Lepisosteus oculatus: one gene and its partners. The protein of the gene in region 1 purifies or fractionates together with the protein of each later gene. This does not show direct contact. Links are inferred from orthologs where the notes say so. Each region holds a gene or a part of one and is shown on either strand. Other genes may lie near its edges.

What was found. The genes of interacting proteins can lie anywhere in the genome.
Region 2: the proteins of eif4ba (region 1) and eif4g1a fractionate together in Homo sapiens (co-fractionation; 4 studies listed by BioGRID, with this or other methods). This does not show direct contact. The link is inferred for Lepisosteus oculatus from reciprocal best matches to the Homo sapiens genes EIF4B and EIF4G1.
Region 3: the proteins of eif4ba (region 1) and usp11 purify together in Homo sapiens (affinity purification with western blotting; 3 studies listed by BioGRID, with this or other methods). This does not show direct contact. The link is inferred for Lepisosteus oculatus from reciprocal best matches to the Homo sapiens genes EIF4B and USP11.

Annotation. Positions count from the first base shown.
Region 1 is NC_090696.1:17,497,175-17,505,100, reverse strand, and holds the start of eif4ba (eukaryotic translation initiation factor 4Ba), read right to left. Parts: upstream 3,016-7,926; 5' UTR 3,001-3,015; coding exon 2,904-3,000; intron 806-2,903; coding exon 668-805; intron 21-667; coding exon 1-20. UniProt on the Homo sapiens protein: Required for the binding of mRNA to ribosomes. Functions in close association with EIF4-F and EIF4-A. Binds near the 5'-terminal cap of mRNA in presence of EIF-4F and ATP.
Region 2 is NC_090708.1:18,069,622-18,077,338, reverse strand, and holds the start of eif4g1a (eukaryotic translation initiation factor 4 gamma 1a), read right to left. Parts: upstream 3,006-7,717; 5' UTR 2,801-3,005; intron 2,795-2,800; exon of another isoform or gene 2,378-2,794; intron 262-2,377; exon of another isoform or gene 242-261; intron 1-241. Other genes in the region: psmd2 (26S proteasome non-ATPase regulatory subunit 2), read right to left, coding at 6,935-7,117, 7,631-7,717.
Region 3 is NC_090697.1:76,579,272-76,586,628, forward strand, and holds the start of usp11 (ubiquitin carboxyl-terminal hydrolase 11), read right to left. Parts: upstream 3,006-7,357; 5' UTR 2,915-3,005; coding exon 2,799-2,914; intron 1-2,798.

The DNA of each region.
Region 1 (7,926 bases):
CGTGTGCCAGGCAGTGGAAACTGTGGGTCACCCCAGACACCGAGAAACAGGGAGCATTCAGGCTTAAAAGGGCAGCTTCCAACACGTAATCAAGAATTTGTTACAAAGCTCTCGCACTTTAACTCGGGGTTGGGGTGGGGGGGGGGGAGGTTTGTTCATAAATCTACACTGTTTGGAGAAAAACGTCTTATAAAACGATAGACGGATGACTGATTTATGAAAATGATTTTAAACAAAAGAAAAATGATTATAAGCCTCTTTAATTTGCACACATCTCAATTTACTCTTTTTGAAAATATTTACAAATGCAGATGTATCAAGAGAAAATGTGTTTTTTTTACAATACAGGAAAATATTAATTTGTAGTGACACTTCTGTATTCTGGTCATTCTGCATCTGAACTCAGGCATTGTTAAAAACCTGGTGCTTGAAATAATGCTTAAAGTCATTTAACATGACATTCACAGCTTATCATTTAATCACCTAAATAACCTGAATACACCTTTTTTTTACAGAACTCCCAACTACCACAAAATAAAGAAAAGGTGTTAACAGTCCAAGCAGGCAACACCTGAGAATTGCTTCATTTATTAAGCAAGAAAAAGCACAGGCTTGGCGTTTCATGAACATGACCCCGATGAATCTGATGTCCTTCTTGTTCACTCACCATCTCCTTCCAGGTCATCCGTCTCATCTGCCCAGCTGGTGGGCTTGGCCGTGGGGTAGCTAGGGGTGCTGCCACCACTGTCCTCTGCCAGGAAATCGGTCAGAGTTAAGGTCTTCCCCTTCTTGTTCTTCTTCTTACCTGAGGATAAACAAAAAAAAAATAATGGCTTTGTTGTAAAGGAAACATTCCTGCTGATATAATGCCATGATCTCCCCAAATTAAACTAAGATAAGGAATTAAGGTGTTTCACCAACAAATACATTTGAACCAGAAACATTTTTTCCACCTCAGTATAATCTGTACAAGAGTCCACAGTTCCTTAAACATTGCAAAGACTAGGCTGCTACACAAACAGGATCCAGTCTGGTTGCCAGGCATGGACTGAAAGATGCCTATGATATGAGCATGGAGACTGACCCCGAGGTGCTGTGACTCCAGACAAATCAGGAGTAGGCAACGTGAGTGTACAAAAGGTCATACTGCCACCCTCAGTGTTTAACCTGCTTCTGTGGCTTGTAAATCAAGACAAGTTCTGTATGATTGCCATGATATACTCTGCAGATGTTGATGAGAGGTACACAAAAATAAAGAGGCGGTTCACAGGTTACTGTGCCAGTATCATGATTTTTCAAAAAAGGATGCTCTGCTACTATAAACTTATTATACTAAGTCATCCCCACACCAAGAGAACATCAGTGCATAATCAAAAAAAGGGAACCTTACTTTCAAGAATATTAAAATAATTATCCCAAACTACAAAAAAATAACAAGATATGTTTATTCTGAAAAACAGCAGCAGAGATGAAATACCAACATAAGAACACAATGTGGCAAAATCAGTTTCCGAAAAGTTATTTTTGCTAGATCACAATTGTATTACAAATCTAGTTAAATCTCTGCTACAGATCATTTCCTTAATAAGATTCCATTCTTCAGAAATTAAAAGGGTAAACAGCAAGTTCTTAACTGTTAAAACCCTGCATATTTTGTTACCGTACTCTTAAGGGAAAAAACTCTATTTATACAACACATTTCATCCTGAAACACCCCAAACACATTACATATAGGAAGGGAATCACTTCATCCACCACTGAATAGCAGCACCACCTGGGTGATATGTAGCTGCTATTCTCCACCAGCTTACCTACTGCAGTCCTAAAACAGCAACATTTGTACTTTTATCCAAACTGTGGTCACCCACGTACTTCATAGATGAACTCACATGCTCCAGACCAGCAGAAGTAAGAACCCCAAAAAGGTTAAACAAATTAAATTACCAAGAGAAACAACAAGAACTGACAAAGTAATGATTATGGGTTAAAGAGCAGATGAGAAGTATAACCCAAACATCCACCTACACTAATGTATCACATAAGCACTACACTCCCCTGCCCTCAAGGATGCAGTTTCAGTCTGACTGGGAGTTCAGTCAGATATTCACAAAGATATTTATAAAACTTCCCAAGAGTTTCTGCAATACATCATAATCATTAAAACCACAATTAAACCCTTGTAACCCAGACAAATATGTACTTACATGTAGTGCCTGGATTTAAAAGAAAGACTATAAAGTCCTGTCTCCTTTCTTACAAAAAATGAAATGTTTGCAACATGTGCAGATTCCGCAAAGGGGTCTTTCACCGGTCTGACAAAATAATCAAATTAAAAACCGTTTGGATAGATGATGAGGAGAAACATCTGCCTTTTTTTTCTTCAGCATGAGAGGTTACAGAGGTGAGACAAGGAAAATATCTGGGAACAGCGTTGGCCTAGAAAACACAGGACCGGGACAGAGCTCTAAATGGGGGCTGTGCTATATGTATGAAGCAAGAGGCAAGATGACCCCAGCATGTGTGCTCAACACAGAGGCTCACAAAACACTGATGCTAATCCATTACCAGAGTTAAAGATTACCGATTGGTGATGACTTTTGCATCAATTTCTCTTTGTGTTCCTGGCCTTTCCTTACTCAGGATATTCCACTGGCTCGACAGCCTGAAAATTACTTTAATTCAAAACAATTTTGCCATTTCCTGGAATCAATAAATAATCCTTCAATTAAATTCTAAAATCACCATGTCTCATTCTTCAGCTCACACAAATGAGCATCTGCTTCAGTAGCAAAGCCCTTTAAGTTGAGTATTTTTGTACCACTAAGACGAGAATGAATTTCCATGAGGAAAAATGATTTTTGACAAGGACAAACTGGTGCACAGTTTTACAGCAGGGCACTTACTGGAACAAGTGAAGCTTACTGAGTGAAGTACGTTGCTCAAGACCACAACAGTATTGCTCCAGACAAAATTTGAACCTGTGATCTTCCAGTCTGCCATCCAGAGCCCTAACCGCTACTCCGATTAATTTAACGTTAAAAACAAGAAGAACAAAGTCTTTTTATTGGCAGGTCAACCGCAACTGGGTGCATTCAGACAGTTTACATCTGAAACAAGATAAAAAAGTCCACCCGTAAGTCAGACAACCATCTCAGACCAGTTTAGAAGCACAACATGTTCATTCAGGAAATCAAATGTTTTGGATGATTAATAAAAAATGTTCAGACTGTGGTCTAGCATGCATTGCACCATCCCCTGCGTTTGGTTACTTGACTTCACCCAGGAATGCAGTGAACAAGGGGATTAGAAAGAAAAAATGGAATACATAGATAGAATGCATCCCAGAAAAAAAAAGTGATAGAAATCTCATTCTCTCCTATACTCCAACAAAAAAAAAATCAAAGGTTTTTAAGACTTTGAAATGTTCTCTTTTTTGCCAGTGGGAATTTTGCTAGTGTTCAGTACTTTCACTAATCTAATCAACTAAGGAAGAACCATTACTATGATCATTAAAATGGCACAAAGACCCCCCCCCCCCCCCCCCCCCAACACAATCCAAAACACGGGGCTCAGGCAGCTGTAACCTCAGCATGCTTAGGTAATCCAGCAAGACCAACTCGGTGTCCTTTCAGATGCTGGCAGGAAAACCTTCCATTCTAACTGGTGCATACCCACATAAAAGCTCAAGACGAGCGGAGCTCAGCGAAGGAGTGTAAACGTTCAATAAGAGGCCAAAGAAAACCGTCTCTTCACTTCTTTGCCTTTTTTTTATCTCGGAATGACAGCAGGCGGCTTTGCCCCTGGTAGTAAACAAAGCAGGGTGTGATGCACACGCCCAGCCTTTGAGATGGCGTACAAAAGGACTGGTATAGACCGACGAGATCGACTTACCACCCAACGTAACTCGACAGCGTTTCAACCAGCAATTACATAAGGCATCTTCAGTGACAACTGCTGTTTCACTACGACTGCAGCTTCCGCCGGAGCTATAAACCCTGGGACCACGGCCATACACACGCCCTTTTGTAGAAGAAGTCGCGCTACAAGCGTGATCAAACGGAGGCGCTACTTCACCGTGGTGAAAACGGAGCGGTTTATTAAAATAGAACTACGCCTGTATCCCCTCCCCCCCTTCTCATCTGACAGTTTTTGAGCTCACAGAGCCTGTTCCTAAAACCAAGTTAATAACTGAATCGTCAGCGATCTGTGCGGATGGTTGGGAAAACAGCAGACGATCGGAAAAAGCACTTGGACTTCTGACAGCACGTCTGGGTCCAGACTGGAACGCGTGATGAGACACTCACGGGGGGTAGGGGGGACGGGGCTGTTCCACTATTCTGTATGAACATAAGCCTCAATGCTTCAGCACGACCAGCCGACTCGAATCGGGACATCGCGTACGGACAAACCAGACGGGTGCCAGAACTTCACACCACACACAAAAAAAAGCCCATCGCAAACAGGGCCCTGTTCCTCACAGCGCTCCGACACGCGTGACTCAAATCCAGCTAGGCCTTAGCCATTTATTCTAACTCATTTGCGATTGGCTTGCCAGATACAGGCTCCCCCCCTCCTCCCACTGCTAAGGCCGCGCCATGCCGATTTTTGCCTCTGAACGGCTCAGTGCGGGAAGGGAGATAGGAGAGAGCTCAAGGGATCATGTACGGGAGGGGGCATTAGCACACACGACCATGCTTGCCCGTCGGCCCCGCCAGCTCGCCCTGCACGCTGGCGATCTTGCCCCCACCCGAGATACACGTGGGGAGCTCCTCCATGCCCCACAACACACCTCCGCCCGTCACCGCGCCTGCGCCGCCGCGCAGACAGGGCGCCTGCTTCTACAGCGCCGGGCGGGGGGCACAATGTGGCAATCGGTCCGAGTGCATGCGCAGCAATCGGGCCGCAACAGCACTGCATGTGACAATCCCGGCCTAGCCTAAAATAAAGAAAAGAAAAGCCCAGGGGCCTCGGTGTGGCAGAGCCCCAGGGAGACCCCGCGCAATGTGGCGCAGATTCACGGATAATATCCGGCAAAGCGCCGCGAATCCGCCCCCCCCCCTCGCCTCCCCGGCTCCGTCCGCTAGCGAAGTCTGGACTTTCCAGCCCCGTGCCCGACTCCATTTCAACACACAAACAGCCTGCCCCGCGACGAGGATAACCTTCCTCCTTATTCTGTCGAGTCAGTCGCGTCCGACAGCCCTTCTCCCAACCCTATATCCCCGCACCGGCCCAGCTCCTCTCCCCACATAAACCTCACCTGACGACGCCATGATGGAGAGTGAGTCCGTGTCAGAGTCCCGGATGGAGGCGTCACGTGCTTATCGCCGGGAGCGCGCATTCGTGCCCGTGGCGTACGCGCGGAATAAAATGTCCTCTCCAGCAGTAGGCAGTCACCGCCCTAAGGAAGATATATTTATGTTTATTTTAATTCCAGTAAAAGAGAATTCATTCCCCTTTCTACTGAACGGACGTTAACGTTTGTTCGATGGTTTTAAATGGAAAAGGAGAGTATTTTTTTCTTTTCTGAACTTTTCAAGCAGAATTTGTATAAATCAGTATTTACTGTAAATAAATTCAGGAATTGAATCAGTCGGTAATTTTAACTCTATCACTAATGACAGCTTAAGGTGATACTGCGATGTCCAAGCACAGAAAGGAATCAGAAGGAGTCTATCATTGTGCCCCATTCTGTGACAGGCGATTTCAACATCCTGTGCAATATTGAAAGAGAATTCAAAGAATTTCCATTTTCGTTGTAGCTTCAAAACCTACCATGCAGGTGTCCTGTGCCATTCCACCTTGATATGTTACCTGAAATCGTGACATCTTATAACCGTGCCTATAATACTGTGTAATAATATACTGGTTAAGATTACAAGATCATGTTAGCAAAGGCAGATCTCACAAAACTCCACATGGCACATACATCTCACGTACTTCCTCAAAGGCATTGAAGTCGACCCAGAGGATGTCTTCACAGACAGTGAAACAAATTAGAGGATAATGCGGAAATTATGTTTAAGTGCGTTTAAAACCTAGAACATAGAAGAGAGGGCAATTCTTTAGCCAAAGGGTTGTGGGAGTCTGGAACAAGCTGCCAAGCCAAGCTATTGAAGCCCATACCCTACTGAGCCCACCTACATCATGCTATGGGAGAGAAGACAGAATGCAGTGCAAATTACCCAAGTATCCATCAGACATCGCAGCTGACCATGTAAGTACGTGCACATGCGCTGGCTGCTCCTCCTCATTGTGGAAAACACAAAATTACTTTCTGCCACTAGATGGCAGTAATGCACTACATACAGAACTACTATGCGGCGTTTCTTACATGAGGCACATACTGTATCAGGGTTCCATATCGTAATGAGATAAACCAGCTAGTAACAGGCTTAACTGGACCAATTTAACAGCCTTTTCCAGCTCTTCAGTTGCTGCTGCTTTAAAACCCTGCAGACACACTGACCCTGCAGGACCAGGACTGGACACCCTGCAGACACACTGACCCCCCAGGACCAGGACTAGACACCCTGCAGACACACTGACCCACCAGGAGCAGGACTGGACACCCTGCAGACACACTGACCCCCCAGGACCAGGACGACACCCTGCAGACACACTGACCCTGCAGGACCAGGACTGGACACCCTGCAGACACACTGACCCCCCAGGACCAGGACTGGACACCCTGCAGACACACTGACCCCCCAGGACCAGGACTGGACACCCTGCAGACACACTGACCCACCAGGAGGAGGATTGGACACCCTGCAGACACACTGACCCCCCCAGGAGCAGGACTGGACACCCTGCAGACACACTGACCCCCCAGGAGCAGGACTGGACACCCTGCAGACACACTGACCCCCCAGGACCAGGACTGGACACCCTGCAGACACACTGACCCTGCAGGACCAGGACTGAACACTCTGCAGACACACTGACCCACCAGGACCAGGACTGGACACCCTGCAGACACACTGACCCTGCAGGACCAGGACGACACCCTGCAGACACACTGACCCCCCAGGACCAGGACGACACCCTGCAGACACACTGACCCTGCAGGAGCAGGACTGGACACCCTGCAGACACACTGACCCCCCAGGACCAGGACTGGACACCCTGCAGACACACTGACCCCCCAGGACCAGCACTGTATGTTGCCTGGCATATATATCTGAATGCAAAATGAAAACACAGTGGTGTAAGGTTACATTAATATCCAAATGAACAAATAGTGAAAAAAACATTTTTGTAGAAAAACCATTGAGTAGGTTTGTTCTGTGGATTAGCAAAATATTCAATTTAAGTCATGGGATTCTTAAAATTGCCATGTTCACAGTATTTGGTATTTGAATTGAGTTCAAAAACAGCCATTTAATAAGGCAGAATTTTAAACAATACCAAACAATGACAGGTACATGCCCCATCTGATTAAAGATTAGAGATGCCTAGCTGCTATCAGCGGAATTGAAGCCCATCAAGGAAAAGTTGCCCCAGAGAATTAAATGGAATGGCTTTCAGCAACGAGCAGACTACTGTCGAAAATCCAGGAAACTGGCTCTGTGTGGGACAGACCACATCATGAATAGCAGAGGATCATGACTATGGCCCGCGAGCACTGCATTGAAGTGCATTTAAAAATGGGGTGTGGGAGTCTGGAACAAGCTACCCAGCCATGTCATTGAAGCCGATACCCTGACGACCTTCAAGAGACAGCCAAATAAGAACCATAGATCAATTAACTGCTAACTACTAAACAGGCTATCCATCCAATCATTTTCTAAATGCTTCATCCAATTTAGGGTTTCAGGGGAGCCAGAGCGTATCCAGACAAGCAATGCGAGCAAGGCAGTATACACCCTGGGCAAAACACCAGTCCCTCACAGGATAAACACACAGACATACTCACACCAGGGCCAA
Region 2 (7,717 bases), on another chromosome or scaffold:
AAATACGCGAGTTTTTCACGACCTTACTATGTAGGCCTTGAACGCCGCTCTCTCTCTCACCAGGACGGCAGTGTTACAACGTGTCGTTTTCACTCCCCAAAAATACACCCCGGGAAATGTCTATATCTGCTACCCAAACTGTGTAAGGATCCGCAGCCTTGATAAACTTCTCTTCATACGCCAAATGCGATTTAGCTTCGCTTAATTCGGTGAATTTACGGTAATGAAACAACTAACCTACCTCTTGGATTGCAAAACGATTGCAAAATAACAGAGGCCTAAACGGTTTTGTCCAACAACAGGGTCAGTAAAGGTGAGTCCGTTAAGCAATCGTGTCCAAATCCTAAAATGAGAGGTCTAAAAGTTCCGGATTGGTCCCCGCAGTGCCCGGCCTCCCTCTCGGCACACTCAACGTGTCATCCCCCCCATCTCTGCCAGCCATGATGGAAAACTCGACTTTCAGAAAAAAGGGCCCGCTTCAGAAAATAACTCCCCCGTCTCACTCTCGAAACCAACTCCACAAAAACAAACAAGGCTCGAACTCGGGGGATAAGGGTGGTTGTGAGCCGTATCGATATCGTAATGCCATTTAGAAAGACGTATATAAGTCTCTCCATACGCGGTACGTGTCACTATTTCACAGAGAAGGGGAAAGCAAAGCGCCACAACTTTAATGACAACTCAGCCGTGTCCGTCTTTTCGCCCCCTAATACTACTACAATTAATAATAAGGATAAACACACATACCCGAGCAGATGTATCGTCCTAACACGTTCCCGTTTTTCTCAAACCGAGTGTCATTCAAAACGACTGTAAACAGTGCAGCGTACGCACGATAACGCAGACCCCCGGTCGTGCACCCTGTAACGTCAACCGAACGAAAAAACCGGTTCAACCAAGCCCTAAAGTACATTAAACAATGAAAAAAATAAGTTCCCACCATCAGAAATGTCAATGCACATTGCGATCAAGGCCACCCTTTGGAAAAAATCGTCTACGAAATAAATAAAACACGTTTTTACCTAGTATAACATGGAAACCGGCAAAACTTAATTTCGACTTCTGAAAAACGTACAGACACATTTTAAAAAATCGCCAGAAGCGAGGAGACTGGAGGAGCTGTGAAGGCCTCGAACTTCCAACCAGATGTACCTATTTATGAGTTTGAAGTCCAATTTAGCGTCCTGAACATTAACTGTAAACAGTAAACACAACAAACCCAATTAAACTCGCTTATCCTCCCACAGCATTTTATTTTTAGAAGAGGACAAAAAATGTCTCGACCTCAAGTGACAAGCAATGCCTTTTAAGAGTCAAGAAAGGCAGTTTCCCCACTGGCCGATAGAGAGAACGCAGCATTTTTAAAACTTATACCCACCCTTTAAAAAAAACACCGATCCCTTAAAAAAATTCGAAAACACTGACTCATCTACCCGTTTAAAGTACGTGTCCAAGCAGTAGGAGGAAGCCGGTTCTCTAAAGTCACGCTGTCTCTCTCAGCCGAGCATATGGTAGGTCGGTCCTCCCAATCAGCGCTCAACAGGGGCAAATCGACTTTTCACTCCCGGCGCAAAACTTAACAATAAGGTCCGACTCCAAACTACTCAAAGATTATATCTCAATCCCTCTGCTTCAGTGGTTTGCCTCCCCTTCCCACCATATTTTACAAGAAGCAGCCGAGCTTCACCGAACTATGAAGGGCCTGGGCTCCCATCGAGGGGGCCTAGCGTAGCAACCCCATCTGCGTGAATGCACGCAGTCCAAGAAGACAGTGATCTTGTTTAAAAACACGCAGCGATTTGAATCTAACAAATAATCACCAAGAAGAGATTCCGTGACACAGGCCGGCGAGGCATCATTATAAACCCCAAGCTTTACGGAGTATAAATCCCGACATTTCCATTTATTTTCATTATAAATAATTAAAAAGCTTGGGGCCTACCCCGAGTCGGGCTCCAGTATTGTGGCACTGCAACCCAATGATATTCTTGCTTCACAAGCGAAAAAGTAATACGGGCTCTTCCAGCTACATTTTAACTACACTGTCTCCGGGATACTGGGAAAAAATGCGTCTACATAACGGCCAATCCGGTTGTGAAAACGTTTCTGCAGAAGTCAATTTTAAAGAGATCGGGTTTGCCAACTCCCGACAAACAGCTTACGCGAAAACACGGTCCAGAAATGCCAGTTCTGTCCAAAATGCACACAGAAGGCAACTCGATTCACCCACCCGTCAGCAGCAAAACAAGTCCGAAATATATAAAACAACCGAGCCCCCCAAACAGACACTTAACGTTTTTACTGCCGGAATGAAACCACTATTTAAACAGCTATTCCCAGGAAAAAAAGAAGAAAATAAAACCCAGAGACTGCTTACCTAAAGTGAATAAAGGACATGCAGAGAGGGGACAGAACAAGGGCTCACAGAGAAAAGATCTTTTCTGTCTCCGTACTTCGTCCGTTTCTATTCACTTTTTCCCCCAAACCTATAAATCGCTTCTTCGGCTCCAGTTCCAAGGGAAAGAGGGTGTCCTAACCTTTTTTTGGGGGAAAGGGGGGCTGCTGATCTAGGCGAGAAGTGTGTTTTAAATCCCCTGGAAGCATACGAGAAAAACAAAAAAAGGAGAAATCAAATAAATCAATACTGCTTTAAATATATCTTATTGGGTGAGCATGTGTCCCGAATGAGAGCTTCTGTGCCGGAGCTCCATGTTTAAAGCGCAGATGCACACGGATTGACGGCAATGTGTCCACACGATACAGATTTAGCAAAGAGTGAAGTGAAGAGCCATATCATTACCTTTCTCTCCTTGAGTCCGCAAAGCCGGACGGAGCCTCACGGAAACCGTGAGAGACTTCCGGGTTAATTACAATGGGAATCCTCACACTCTTGTCATGTGACTAGGGCGGCAGGAATTCTTCACCCTCGTCATGTGACCTGAGACTGCCAATCGTTCCAATAAGAAAAATGCTTTTTAGAGAATAAACAAAGTTGTTTTTTGTCACTTGCTCAAGAACGATACGTGGCATTACCTGACCATGTGCAAGTAAGCTTGCTAGATTTGGGCAGGTTCAATGTTGAATGTGACCTCACAGAAAAGGTCATAATAGGATCTAGACTTGCTGGGTCTTTTTTGCAAGTGTGGGTGGGGCTGTGTAGCAACTGTTGCAAACACATAGATTTTCTTAATGCAACAGAGTGGGCAGCCTTCAATGTCTGAGGGGTCAATGTAACTATTGATACTGAAACTTATTTTAAATCACGGACTGTGTCTGAATGTTTTCAATGGAACCTCATTTTGTCTCTCCACAGAAAGGTACTTAAATCAGGAAGGTTAACTGAGGTTTAACGTGTAGTGACCAGAAGAAATAGCTGCTGCTGGCTTGTTCACTATTAGTCATGATATCCCCTTTTCCTTCCATCTTTCCCTGAGTCATAACCCTCAGGACTCATCTATACTGCATATAATATAGAAGAGTAGCTGGTGGGCAGAGCTGCTGCTAGAATTGATTATACAACTAATGAATGCACCAGTAGAATGTATTCTGAAGTTTACAGAAACATTTAATCTGATTTTAAAGAAGAAAATACTGCCATACTTACTCGCCAGTGCTATACCATGCAGTTCAACAGTGATCCAAAGCATACAGCCAACGCAACCAAGGTCTTGGTTGAAGATCCAGGTTGAAATCCAGTTGTGCACTGATTTTGCAACTCAGAACACTGACTCTGAGTTACTACAGCAAAGTATCTAAAATATTTCAACAAACGAGTTTGGTGAGATCAGAGGTTTGTGGACACCATGCAGTTATTGCCTCAGAAGAGTATACAATCCAATACTGAATTTTACACCCTACACTTCACACCAAGATTTACCCGAAGTGAATGTGTCCCAGTTCTTATGGTTACTTGAAACCATTGGTTGATCACGTGTCACATCTGACACCACAAAAGAGCAAAACCTGAGTGCAGGCTTTCTATATCCTCTATATTTCTTAATAAAAGCAACACAAAAATGTGCTTTTCCTCACCAGGAATTGCTTTTCCTTGAAATGTGATAAGCACATTCACAATTTGTAACACAGTGGAATGACCTTCAGTTGACAGTGTGGTGACAGTGGAGCACAACAATGCACTGCCTTTTTAAAAAGCATCAAATTTATGCTTTTCACACATATGATTAAAGTGTTTGGGCCAGCAGAAATAGCTGGAGGTGACTTATCTACTGCTAGTCACAGCATCCCCTTCTTTCCATCTGTTATCTTGGGTGGGTAGCTGCGTCAGCATGCGTAGGCTGCAAAGGAATAAGTGATAGGTTTATTCCATGCTGAAAAAAAGAAGAAAGAAACCACGTTTCAGCCATGGAGCCTTCTTCAGGTGTTGACACCAGAAGAAGGCTCCACGGCTGAAACGTTTTCTTTCATCTGTTATCTTGTCTGTGCTGACCAATGTAGCCAATTTTTACCAGTGCGTTTTTAGTTAAATTGAACAAAAACTAACCTCAAAATTTATTAAATGAAAGTATATTACTGACTAAAGAGCAACTGATCTTTGGGTTCAGAAGATTCATTTTCATCTCCTATATTTTCCGAATGCTAAACTACCATAACAGCACATAATGAGTGTGTCGTAGTAGTGTGATGGTTAGCACTGCTGCCTTGCAGCTCCTGGTTCCAGGGTTTGCTTCTGGCTTGGGGTGATTCCGTGTGAAGTCTGCATTTCTCCTAGTTACCCTGTTGGATTACTCCAGGTGATCCTGTTTACTCTCGCAGCCCAGAGACATGCTGCCTATGTTAACTGGCATCTTTAAGCAGTCCTAGTGTTTGTGAGTACGATGGACTGGTGATCCTAAGATAAAAATGCACTAACCCTAATGCTAAGCTACGGAAAACAGCACCAATATGCTTTTGGGTTCACAAAGCAAACAGAAGACATGGTTACACACAAACTTAGTTTTTAGTTACAGCACTATTCCAACTATTTGCAATGAGCAAAATGATAGAGCTTTAAGTGTTTAGGTTTCTTAAGTGTCAGTGTAGTGTAATTTGTTAAAAGTTGGGGGTTGTAGAGAGGATTTTGTAAACTGGCAGGCCAGACAATGTTCTTTACCAACAGCAGCTTCTGTGCAGGCCAACAGGTTTGTCTCCTCAGTCACAGAACAGAGACATAGGCTCAGTCACTGGCACACAATGGTTCAAATCATGCATAAAGGCTAAGAGTCTTCTACCCCCTCACTGCTTTCCACTCAGGGGTACCAGAGTCATGATTCTGACATGTCAGACAGACAGGAGAAACAACAACAGGACTGGGACACATACATCAATTGATTACAAGTTATAAATGAGAGGAAGCCTTTCAACTCATTTAGGAAACCCCAGCTAGGAAATGGTAACACAAACATCAGCTGATTGGCAGGTTAAGAACAAGCTATCATTTACTAACTACCCATGAATACAACAGGGCGCTTCACTAAACCAACTTGAGAGAAGTACCTTTCTCAATACCCACCTGTGTCCCACCTGGGTGTTGAATCCACATCCTTTTATAGTTTGAAGTCCTCACCATTACTCCACCCAGTGTGATAAACAGCATGAAACTCGAAGGTGTTAGAAGAGAGTGGACAAGGCAGGATTAAGTCAGCACACACGAAACCAGTGCCACCACCCTTTTCAGTGATACAGTGAGAGGGTTGCTAGGGGAGTGGAATAGAGCAAGAAAATCTAGAATTATGTGAGGAAAGTGAGTCATTGACCTAATCACAATTTAGTTATAATGTAGCTACTGAGGAGTGTGGGTTACCTATAAAATTGTCAAGGCTCTGGCACTCCAGGATCAGGAGTACTGCTCTAATGTACACAGGAGAGGATGCAGAGGAACTGAGACCTTCAGCACGGCTGTACAGCAGTTCTACCCAGAGATATGTGCAACATCACAGACATGCCAGCAGCTATTGTATGCGAGAGCATTACATTCTTCCACATTCCAGTCTGAAACTTCAAGGAATTTTCTCTTATGTTAAATATATAAAAAAATAACATAAGTCTATTTAGCAGTCAAAATTAATGTTCTAATTTTAACTTTCACTCAAAGCTCCACTGAAAAACTTCTGTGACAAGCACAGAGGAAGCAGGAAAATATAATTAAAATGATCACCTGGTTAACTGGATGTTCACAAGTCAGAAAACCAGTATAGTAAATTAACACCATATGTACCAGAAAAATCCTCAGAACACTAAGCGCAGCATATATCAATATAAGTACACCTACAGGTTTTCAATGCAGAATGACAGCAGAAACAAATTAGTATTCAAATTAAGTTTAGACTTGGGAAACTTTACGAAACTGAATGGACACTGAAAGTTTTTAACCCTCTGCTTGAAAGCAATTAGAGAACAAGAAATTTTATTAGAATATTTAATACATGGATTTACTGACAAATTGTCCCATGCTAAAAAATACATAGCACTTTATTGCAAGTCCAAAACATTGCCTGTGCACTGCAAACCTTGTTTATGACAGTCCACAATGCATTCATAAAATTCTGTAGGGTTTTTTAAATAATTTTTCTGTTGACATTACAGCCCCTCAATTATGGTCTTCAATTACACACCGAAACAAACTTTCACAGTCCAGAGAGTGGACCAGAAATAAATTTATTACATAACCTTTAACAGTACTGTAACAAAACCAACAAAACAAAAAAAATAATTCTGGTTATAACAGACTGGCATTTCATGCGCTTATTACAAAAGGAAAAAAAACATGATAAACATCTGCCAAAACGCATTATCTGTGGGTGCTGGTTTTCCTCTCGCAGCATTGTGGTCTCCTTCTTCAGGAGATGGCTCTCCTAGCCCAGGGGGCAGAATACAACAGAATGAGAGTGAGACAAGTCCAGGGGCAGTGAGAGCCCCCATAGGGGGTGAGGGAGTTCTAGGCGTCATAGTTGGGGTTCTTGCGCAGGATGACGAAGCCTTCCAGGATGGGCGTAACGGGCAAGTACTCCTCGGTGGCCAGCTCGGCTCTCTCCCCATGGGCCAGCAGCACCGGTGTGGTGTGGGTCTGGAAGCCTGTGATGGCCTTGGGCTTCCCTGCTTGTCCCACCACATCCACCGCCTGGAGACACACAAAACACATGAAACTAACACCCCAACACCAGCCTGTCTGCTCTTGCAGGATGGCAGCTAGTGTAATCATTCAGTTATCTGGACTGCAAGCTTCTCAGAACTACATTAGGTGTGAAGCACTATTCCATTCCATCTTTATTAAGACACTTGAAGCCATGTCTTTTTCTATCCATACCAGCTTAACTACTGAATATTAGCAGTGTTGTCACTAAAGGGGAGCTATTACCTGTATAATTGTTACACAGTGGTAATTTATGCATCATGAATGAATGCATTAATAAAGAATGTGGCACAAGTTGGGGCTGCAGCTTTGATTATAACAGTTAAACACAATAATTTTCTGCAAGGGAAATTTTCTGCAATTTCCCTCACGGGATCAATAAAGTATCTATCTAATAATTTCAACTGGATTTAATGGACAAACAGAGGTTGTTTATTAAGTGGTTACTGAGACTTCTGTCCTTGACTAGGTTACATACTGCAGGTCCCTTTCCAGACTCACCTGTCCAACACGCACAGAAACCGCCAACGGGCGCAGCTCCTCGTCGAACGTCACCAGCATGCGGGGCTGCATGGCTGCCACTAACCC
Region 3 (7,357 bases), on another chromosome or scaffold:
CAAAGGATTCTAAGAATAGTCCAGAAAAACACTGTAACAGAAATAAGGCAAGCTGGAGGTAATACAGGTGTGACTTCTAAAACGCTACTGACAGAGGAAGCTGAAGTATAGCATTCTATCTGCTGATTTGTTTTTCTCAGATAGCAGGATGTTGTTGGCCAGATGATATATACCCAGGAAAGGCAACACAATCGATGATACATTACTTAAACTGTATATTATTTTTATCCACTAAACTAGTGCATCTGCTTTAGACCTGTGGTCAGTTGTGTCCTTCTTTCGCCTGCTGGGATCTCCATGTGGGCCAAACGTCACACGAAAGGCGACCTCCCCCCACTGCAGGGCTGTGGGTGTCCTGGGCCAGGGGTGCTCTTCACTGACCCAGAGGTTTCGCCACACTAGAGCGAGGGGGGGAATCTTCACCTGCAGATGCTAATGGACTGGCGTCACGGGAGAGGGCCGGACGCTGACCGCGATCCAGGCCTCGCGAGCCCAGCCAGGGCACGAGGAGTCCTGCCAGAGAGGCAGTGGGAGAGGTGCCGACCCCCGGCTTGTCTTGTCTTGCTTCGAGCCAGAACAGGCTCCCTCTCTGCCCGTCCAGCTGTAGACTCAAACTGCGCCCAGCTACAGCACGCGGACTGGTGCCGCAGGGCTGCTGGGGTTTCCCTCACTCTGCGCAGCGACGATTCTGCACTGGGTGGCCAGGAAGCTTCATTCCCCGGCTTGGCGAGTTTTGAGGGTCACTGGGTGTCCTCTGAGAAACGTATGGGGCTCCCCAGTGACTCCTCCCGTACAGGTGCGAGCCCCAGCTTAGGCTGAGCTCCCTGATCCCGGGTTCGAGCCTGGGTCACATCACTAATGCACTGTAACAGGGATTCCCCAAACGGTGCTGTCCATCAGGGACTAGTCAAGCAGAGCTCTCTCAGCTCCTAGTAACATAGCGGGGCCTGTCCTGACGCTTGTCCTCCTGTAGGGGGCGAAGAAGCCCAAGACATGTGGTAGGAGCCTGTCTGCTCTGCCCAATCTGCTGCTGTCAGCCGAGACTTGAAATCTTCCAAATGGCAATTCCGAATTGCGTGGATACATAACAAAAACACAAACAGAAAAACCTCATCATTGCTGTGGCCTGAGGACATAAGTGGGAGAGCGTGCTCAGGAGCAGACGGCGCTACGGCGGACCTGCGCATCGGCTGCTGGAGAGCCAGTCAGGGATGGCCTGGACCAGGGTCAGGCTGGTGAGCTCCTGTCGGCGTGCAAACAAGACAAGAGCACAACCGCCTGGGCTCCCTGTGCAAATGAACACATTCCTTTTTTTTTTCCAGACCAGAAAGACTCAAACTTCCCAAAGCAGACAACCCTGAGCAAAACTGATCCTCGTCCCAGGATAAATGAAACATTAATAAACAAGTTGGTGCACCTCTGGCAGGAATTGCAGAGCAGGACTGAAGCCCACAGTTGGGGGGGGGGGAGGTCAGGGTTGCGGGTTCGAATCCGTGGTGAGGCACAGCTGTTGTACCATGAGTGAGATATGCCATTCAGATCGCTCCACTAAAACACCCAGTGCTAGGAACAGGTCCCCCGGCAGATACTCTGAGAAATTTTTCTCAAAAGGCTTTGTCAAATAAAACCATAACAAACTCACATCACTCCCTTCCCAGAGTGGAGGTGATGCTCCACTTCCATCATCTAAAAGCTCTCCCATTTAGACATACTTGTCATTACAGGCCATCCTGATATACCTGGATATGCACAACAAATGTTTTATCAACCAATTCTTGGGGCAAATGAGGAAAAACTATCTTTTGAATTGTCATCTTTTGAATAATGAAAGCAGATACTTTGAACTAGTGCACGCCACGCATGGCCCTGCTCCTAACCGGGTCAAACGATTGCAGCTGCACTCTTTCAGGTCCACGTCCGGAAAGGTCGTGGAAAAACAGGTCCAGAGCCCACGGGCAGGCGGGTCTCTGCAGAGTGGCGAGACGGCACCAGGCCGGGCACCTGCGAAACCGATCCCCGACAGTCGCTAGGAAACACGCATCATGCCGGCCGATCCGGGCAACCGGTCCAAAAACCAGAAGGCACTTTATCCTAAAATTGTTCATCAAGCCCCAGCCCGACAGGACGAGCTAAACCCGCGTTGGAAAATCCAGTAATGCAGAGCGGACCACGGCTCGTACAGGTCTGACATCTCGACAGAGGGGGATGTCAACAGGCGCTCGCTCGACACGCCTGGTGCTGCCTCTGTGATTGAACAGCGCTTGAAGACGGGGGTTGAGTCACGGCCAGGAAGAGCCCGGCCCGAAGGCTTGCTGAGAGTGAACGGATCCGACTCTCCGCGTCGTTTCCCTCTCTCGGAGTTGACGTCAGAGGGAGAGAAAACGAAACCAGCTCAGACCTGCAGCTTCACCGCTCACCCACAAGCAAGACAAACTTATCGGGGACGCCCTGAACTTTTCCATTTTCCCACCCGAGACATCTCCATGTCCCGGCTCCCCTGGAGGGGGCTGTGCGGGACTTTAAGCTGAACGATTGAAATGACACCCCCGCTGCCGAAAGCCAATATGAACGCAGTTACACTAGCAAGCCCCTCCAATGAAAAAGTAGCGAAAGCAGCTCGGCGATTGCTGTGAATTCATCACGTACAAACCCCTGCACCTACACGGACCGAGTCAACGCAGGGGATCGCTGTGGCGGACCGATCTTCAGTCAGGTGAAGTGGGGGGACAGGGGAAAATGAGTTAATTTACACCCTGTCAGATCACAGCCTCGGGTTTCCTCTCCGGCGATCGCCTTACCAGCTGTCCCCGGCGCGCAGCCTGTGACCCTGGATAATATCTTCTATCTCTCCGCGCTGGGTCTCCAATCCCGGCGGCTCTGCCGACGAAGACGCGGTAACAGCAGCAGCAGCCATGATAGATCATCAATGTCTGTGTCTGTGAGGGTTCGCGAACTGCCCGAAAAACCACGGAACAGCAGATCGATGGGTCCGACTACCGCCGGAAGCAGGAAGCCATCCGGGCTGAGAAACCACTTCCGGGGGTGTCACTGTGAAATCAGTCCCCCGCTGCCGCCGCACACGCTTCGGCCGAGAGCACGTTTCACCTGCCTTTTCACTAACATTCCGATTAGTTATTAATAATCCGAAGTCGCATTTTAAGAGGGTGTAGGTTTTAATTGAAGAACACAATAATAAACACTGGTATTTGTATGATTTATTTACACCACTAAAAGTACTTTTTACAGTTACAGAGTGAACACTTGAAATAACTTTCCAATAGGATGAACAAACTACATTTCACTGAGTGTGTTATCCTCCGAGTTACAGCAGTGGGTGATGTCTTCGATAAGCACATCTTTATCGTTCTCATAATCACATGTTCCACTTTCGCTCAGCAGGTGGCGCCCTACAAACACACAACGCTGTACTGTTGTAGAGGTTTTGTGTTTGAACTACAACAGAGGAAGGACCTTCAAATATAATAAATAACACCTCCATTCTATTATTATTATTATTATTATTATTATTATTATTATTATTATTAACCAAATTCTTATACATAATACAGATGTAGGTGTAGTCAGTAAATAGTGAAATTCATTTATGAAAGAAAAATAAGTAGACTAGAAAACACTGTAGAGGCAGCAAAGGAGTGTTACAGTATGTGTTGGTACCAAAGTCATGAATAAAAATAAAGGCAAGACAGCCTGAGCTTGAAGAAGACACCTGTGAAAACAATTCAGGTATTTCTGCTCCCGCATCTTCTTCCTCCTGCAGTCAGTGTGGGAAAGCCTTAAGAAAGGCAAATAAAAAAATTAAAAAAACAATTTGAATCCAGGGGTGTTGTGTTAAATTTGTGCAATGCACTAGTAAGACGGTATCTGTGTACAATTCTGTTCACTGTCACACAAACATCCTGGCTGTGGAATCAGTCCTAACTCGGTCCCAGCCCAAATGACTGGTGTGTTCCTGGGCTCTGAAGGAACATCCTGCACCGAACAATGAAACACCCCCCCAAAGACACAAGAGGAAACTACAGGGAAGTGCATTCAGGGCTGAGAACAGGAGGCACTTATTTACATCAAGAGTGGAGGGAGCCTGGAGCAAGAATCCAGCAAGACAGATATCCAGGTGTATTTCAAGAAGCTGGATGTCATAAGACTTATTAGCTACTAGCAACCAAAAACAAGCTAGGCTTGCTGACTTGCATCCTGTTTTTTGCAATCTTGCCACTATTCCCCTATAATTCTGATTATACCACAACAGATGAAAACAGCGACCACTGTAGTGTACAGGGAAGAAAGCCAAGATCATCAACATTGTGGAATTTAGCCCAGACACTGGGGTTAACACCCTTACTCCATGGAACAGTTCTATAGGACCTTCAGTGTTCAGACTTTCAGGAACTCCTACAGCTCAGTTTCCCAGTCACCCTACTGGAGTATTAGTCCAACTACTGGGCCACCAGCACCACTCACAGCAGCAAGCTGGTTTTCCCTGGAGGTCTCTCCCTCCCCTTTCCAGTGCTGACCAGACCCAGCCCTGCTGAGCTTCTGAGACCTGATTAAATCAAGCTACAAGGTGGTAACAGTGCAGCTTGGATTTAACTTTTCTTCTGCTCAGGTTTTTGCTTATTTAGTTTGATCATTTCATTCGACATTTTAACCCCCCGTGACGAACTGTTCCAGATTGCCATTGATCGAGATTGGTCACATCTACAGTCATGTTTCCTTTTTCGTTGTGTGTTCTTTTATTCCCCCCTGAACCCCACTGCCCTAAACCCCAAAACATCCCCTCAGCCTGGTGTACAGTTGTCAGGGGATGTGTGGATCTGAGACAGTGCCTTCGGTCTGCCAGTGGGGGGCAGTACAGGGACAGCCAAGGCTAGGACATAAATGGATGTGACAGGCTGTCAGCGTTGTAAACAGGCTTCAGCCTGGCACTGCATCTAATCGTTTTAGATTGAAGACTGGTGTCCCATTATTTGCCCCTCTCTCGGCCCTCCTGAAGGCTGACACTGGCTTTTCCTTTCACCTGACAGTCGACTCGGAGTCATTTCACACCCAATTTGCCTCGGTGGCCATGACAGAGCCGTGCTGCGTGGGGGACATGATGGCTTTCTCACCTGCCCGCCTACTTTCTAGGCTAAACCGTATATTCAAAGCTTTCAAACCTGCATTTCGTGGTCTTAAACCGTATTGATATGAGATTATGCTGATGGGGACATATTTAGCTACACAATGAAAAATGCATCAGAATCTACAGAATGCAATTCGTCACCACGTTGCATAAAAATACTTGTGCTGTGCAAACAGAATTTGCTATTAAACATGAGATCCAAAGTTTTTTAAGGTCGTTTAAGATATAATTATGAGCACCACTCGCGCTCTGGGGTGTAGCGCGCAGAACGCGTCCTAGAGTTTGTTCCACGCAGGGGAAGAAGGCAGAGACGCGTTTGAATAAACTCTCCATCTTAATGCAGCCTGATTCATGAGGCTGTTACGCCGTGTTGCACCGCAACCGGATCTTAATCGAGTTCGGCGGGCCCCTCCAGAGTACAGCCTTTCATCCCGGACCGCGGCTCGGCAGTTCTAAAGGATCCGAGGGAAAGTTCGGTTCCAAAAGCAGGCTCGTCTCGGGGAATGGCCAGCAGCAGAGACCGGTGTGGTGGAAATCAGTGCGTTTGCAGTAGTGAACAGATTTCAGTAGAAAAGAATCCCATGTTTATTACATTATCTGTAAAGAGCGGAGTGTCCCGAAAAGCGCTATAAAAGTGTGAGCAATTATTATTATTATTATTATTATTATTATTATTATTATTATTATTATCAGTCTTACGAATGATGGCCTACAGCCGGCTGGTGGTTCCTCTCCTGGGCTCCAGTGCACAATTAAGTGCACTGGTGGCTCTGTGGGCAAGGATCTGCGCCTGTGGCTGGAAGGTTGTCAGTTCAAATCCTGCGGCCAGCAGAGGAATCCTATTCCGTTGGGCCCCTGAGCAAGGCCCTTCACCCCAGCTGCTCCAGGGGTGCCGTATAAATGACTGACCCTGCGTGCTGACTTCAAGCTTCTCTCCCTGTCTGTGTGTCTCATGGAGAGCAAGCTGGGGTATGCAAAAAAGACAAATTCCTACTGCAAGAAATTGTATATGGCCAATAAAGTGATCTTAATCTACAGTGTGTCAGGTCCAGGCCTCCTTGAAAGCAGGGCATTCTGGGGCTGAGCTCAAAAGAAGAGCCCGATTTTCTGCTTGGTGTTTCATTGGTGTTACCTCGCAGCTTGGTTTAGCGTAGAACGTGGCATTTTTATAAATGCATCATTACAGCATTATTATTTAATTCTACTGCAGCTTTAGAGTGCGTTTATAAGAGAGAAATCAGCATCTTTGAGAATCATATATACATATATTCGTTCAATAAACACATTTCATTTTCTTGTTTGAAATAATTAAAACGGAATAAAAAAAAAACAGAGAGCTGGAGTCCGACACAGACAGTTTAATCATCCCGTTAATCCCACAGCTCAGTCCCTCTCCTGTAGGAGTCCGCAGGACAGTGGCTGAGCACCAGTGGAGCTCCTGCCGTATTTGAAAGCAGTTTTGCGAAACCTTACAGTGCACTGTGCTCGCTTACGACGACGCAGCCGCTGAAAAGCGATCGGCGCTTCTCCCTTTTCCTTCCTGATGCTGAAGGAGGCGCCGAACAGCGGCAGGGGAGCGGTCCTAGACGCGCACAGGCTGGAACGCGAACACGCAGTTCTGCAGGCAGCCCAGGGCTCAGCGCAGCACAGCGCCTTACACCCCCAAACACTTAACCAGCAGGACCGCAACCGTACACGATCGTGATATCAAAGAAACGGGCGGTTCAGAGTGGTACAGTTTTAATAGGAAACCAGACGACGCGTTTCTACTGGGAATGCAGAGTTGGTCAAGGGGGTCGTGGGGTGCCCTGGTGGTACAAGACCCCTGTGCTGCAGGGTTCTAAACTCTTAAAACCCCTACCTGGACAGCGAGGTTCCGTTGTCCAGTCTGGCCAAACCCTGAGCTCAATTACAGGGCTACGAACGCGAGACGGGAGGAGCGCAGGGCTGTCCAGCTCTGGGGTTGATCTCACCTGAGGGGAGAAACCTCTTCTGTGCAGGGTACAGCCCCAGCTGGCCAACCAGAACCAATTCCACTGTCCCCGAGTTTGACTCTCAGTCCACTGACATGTCTCAACTTAACCGTGAAGCTGAAGTCACCGGGCCTTGGGTCTGTTTTAATGTCCTTATCCCGCAGGAGCTTGACGAGGAGAAAACGTGTTTGCAACATCATACATCTGTTATCTTTATTGTTCTTTTATAAAAACATGAAGAGAA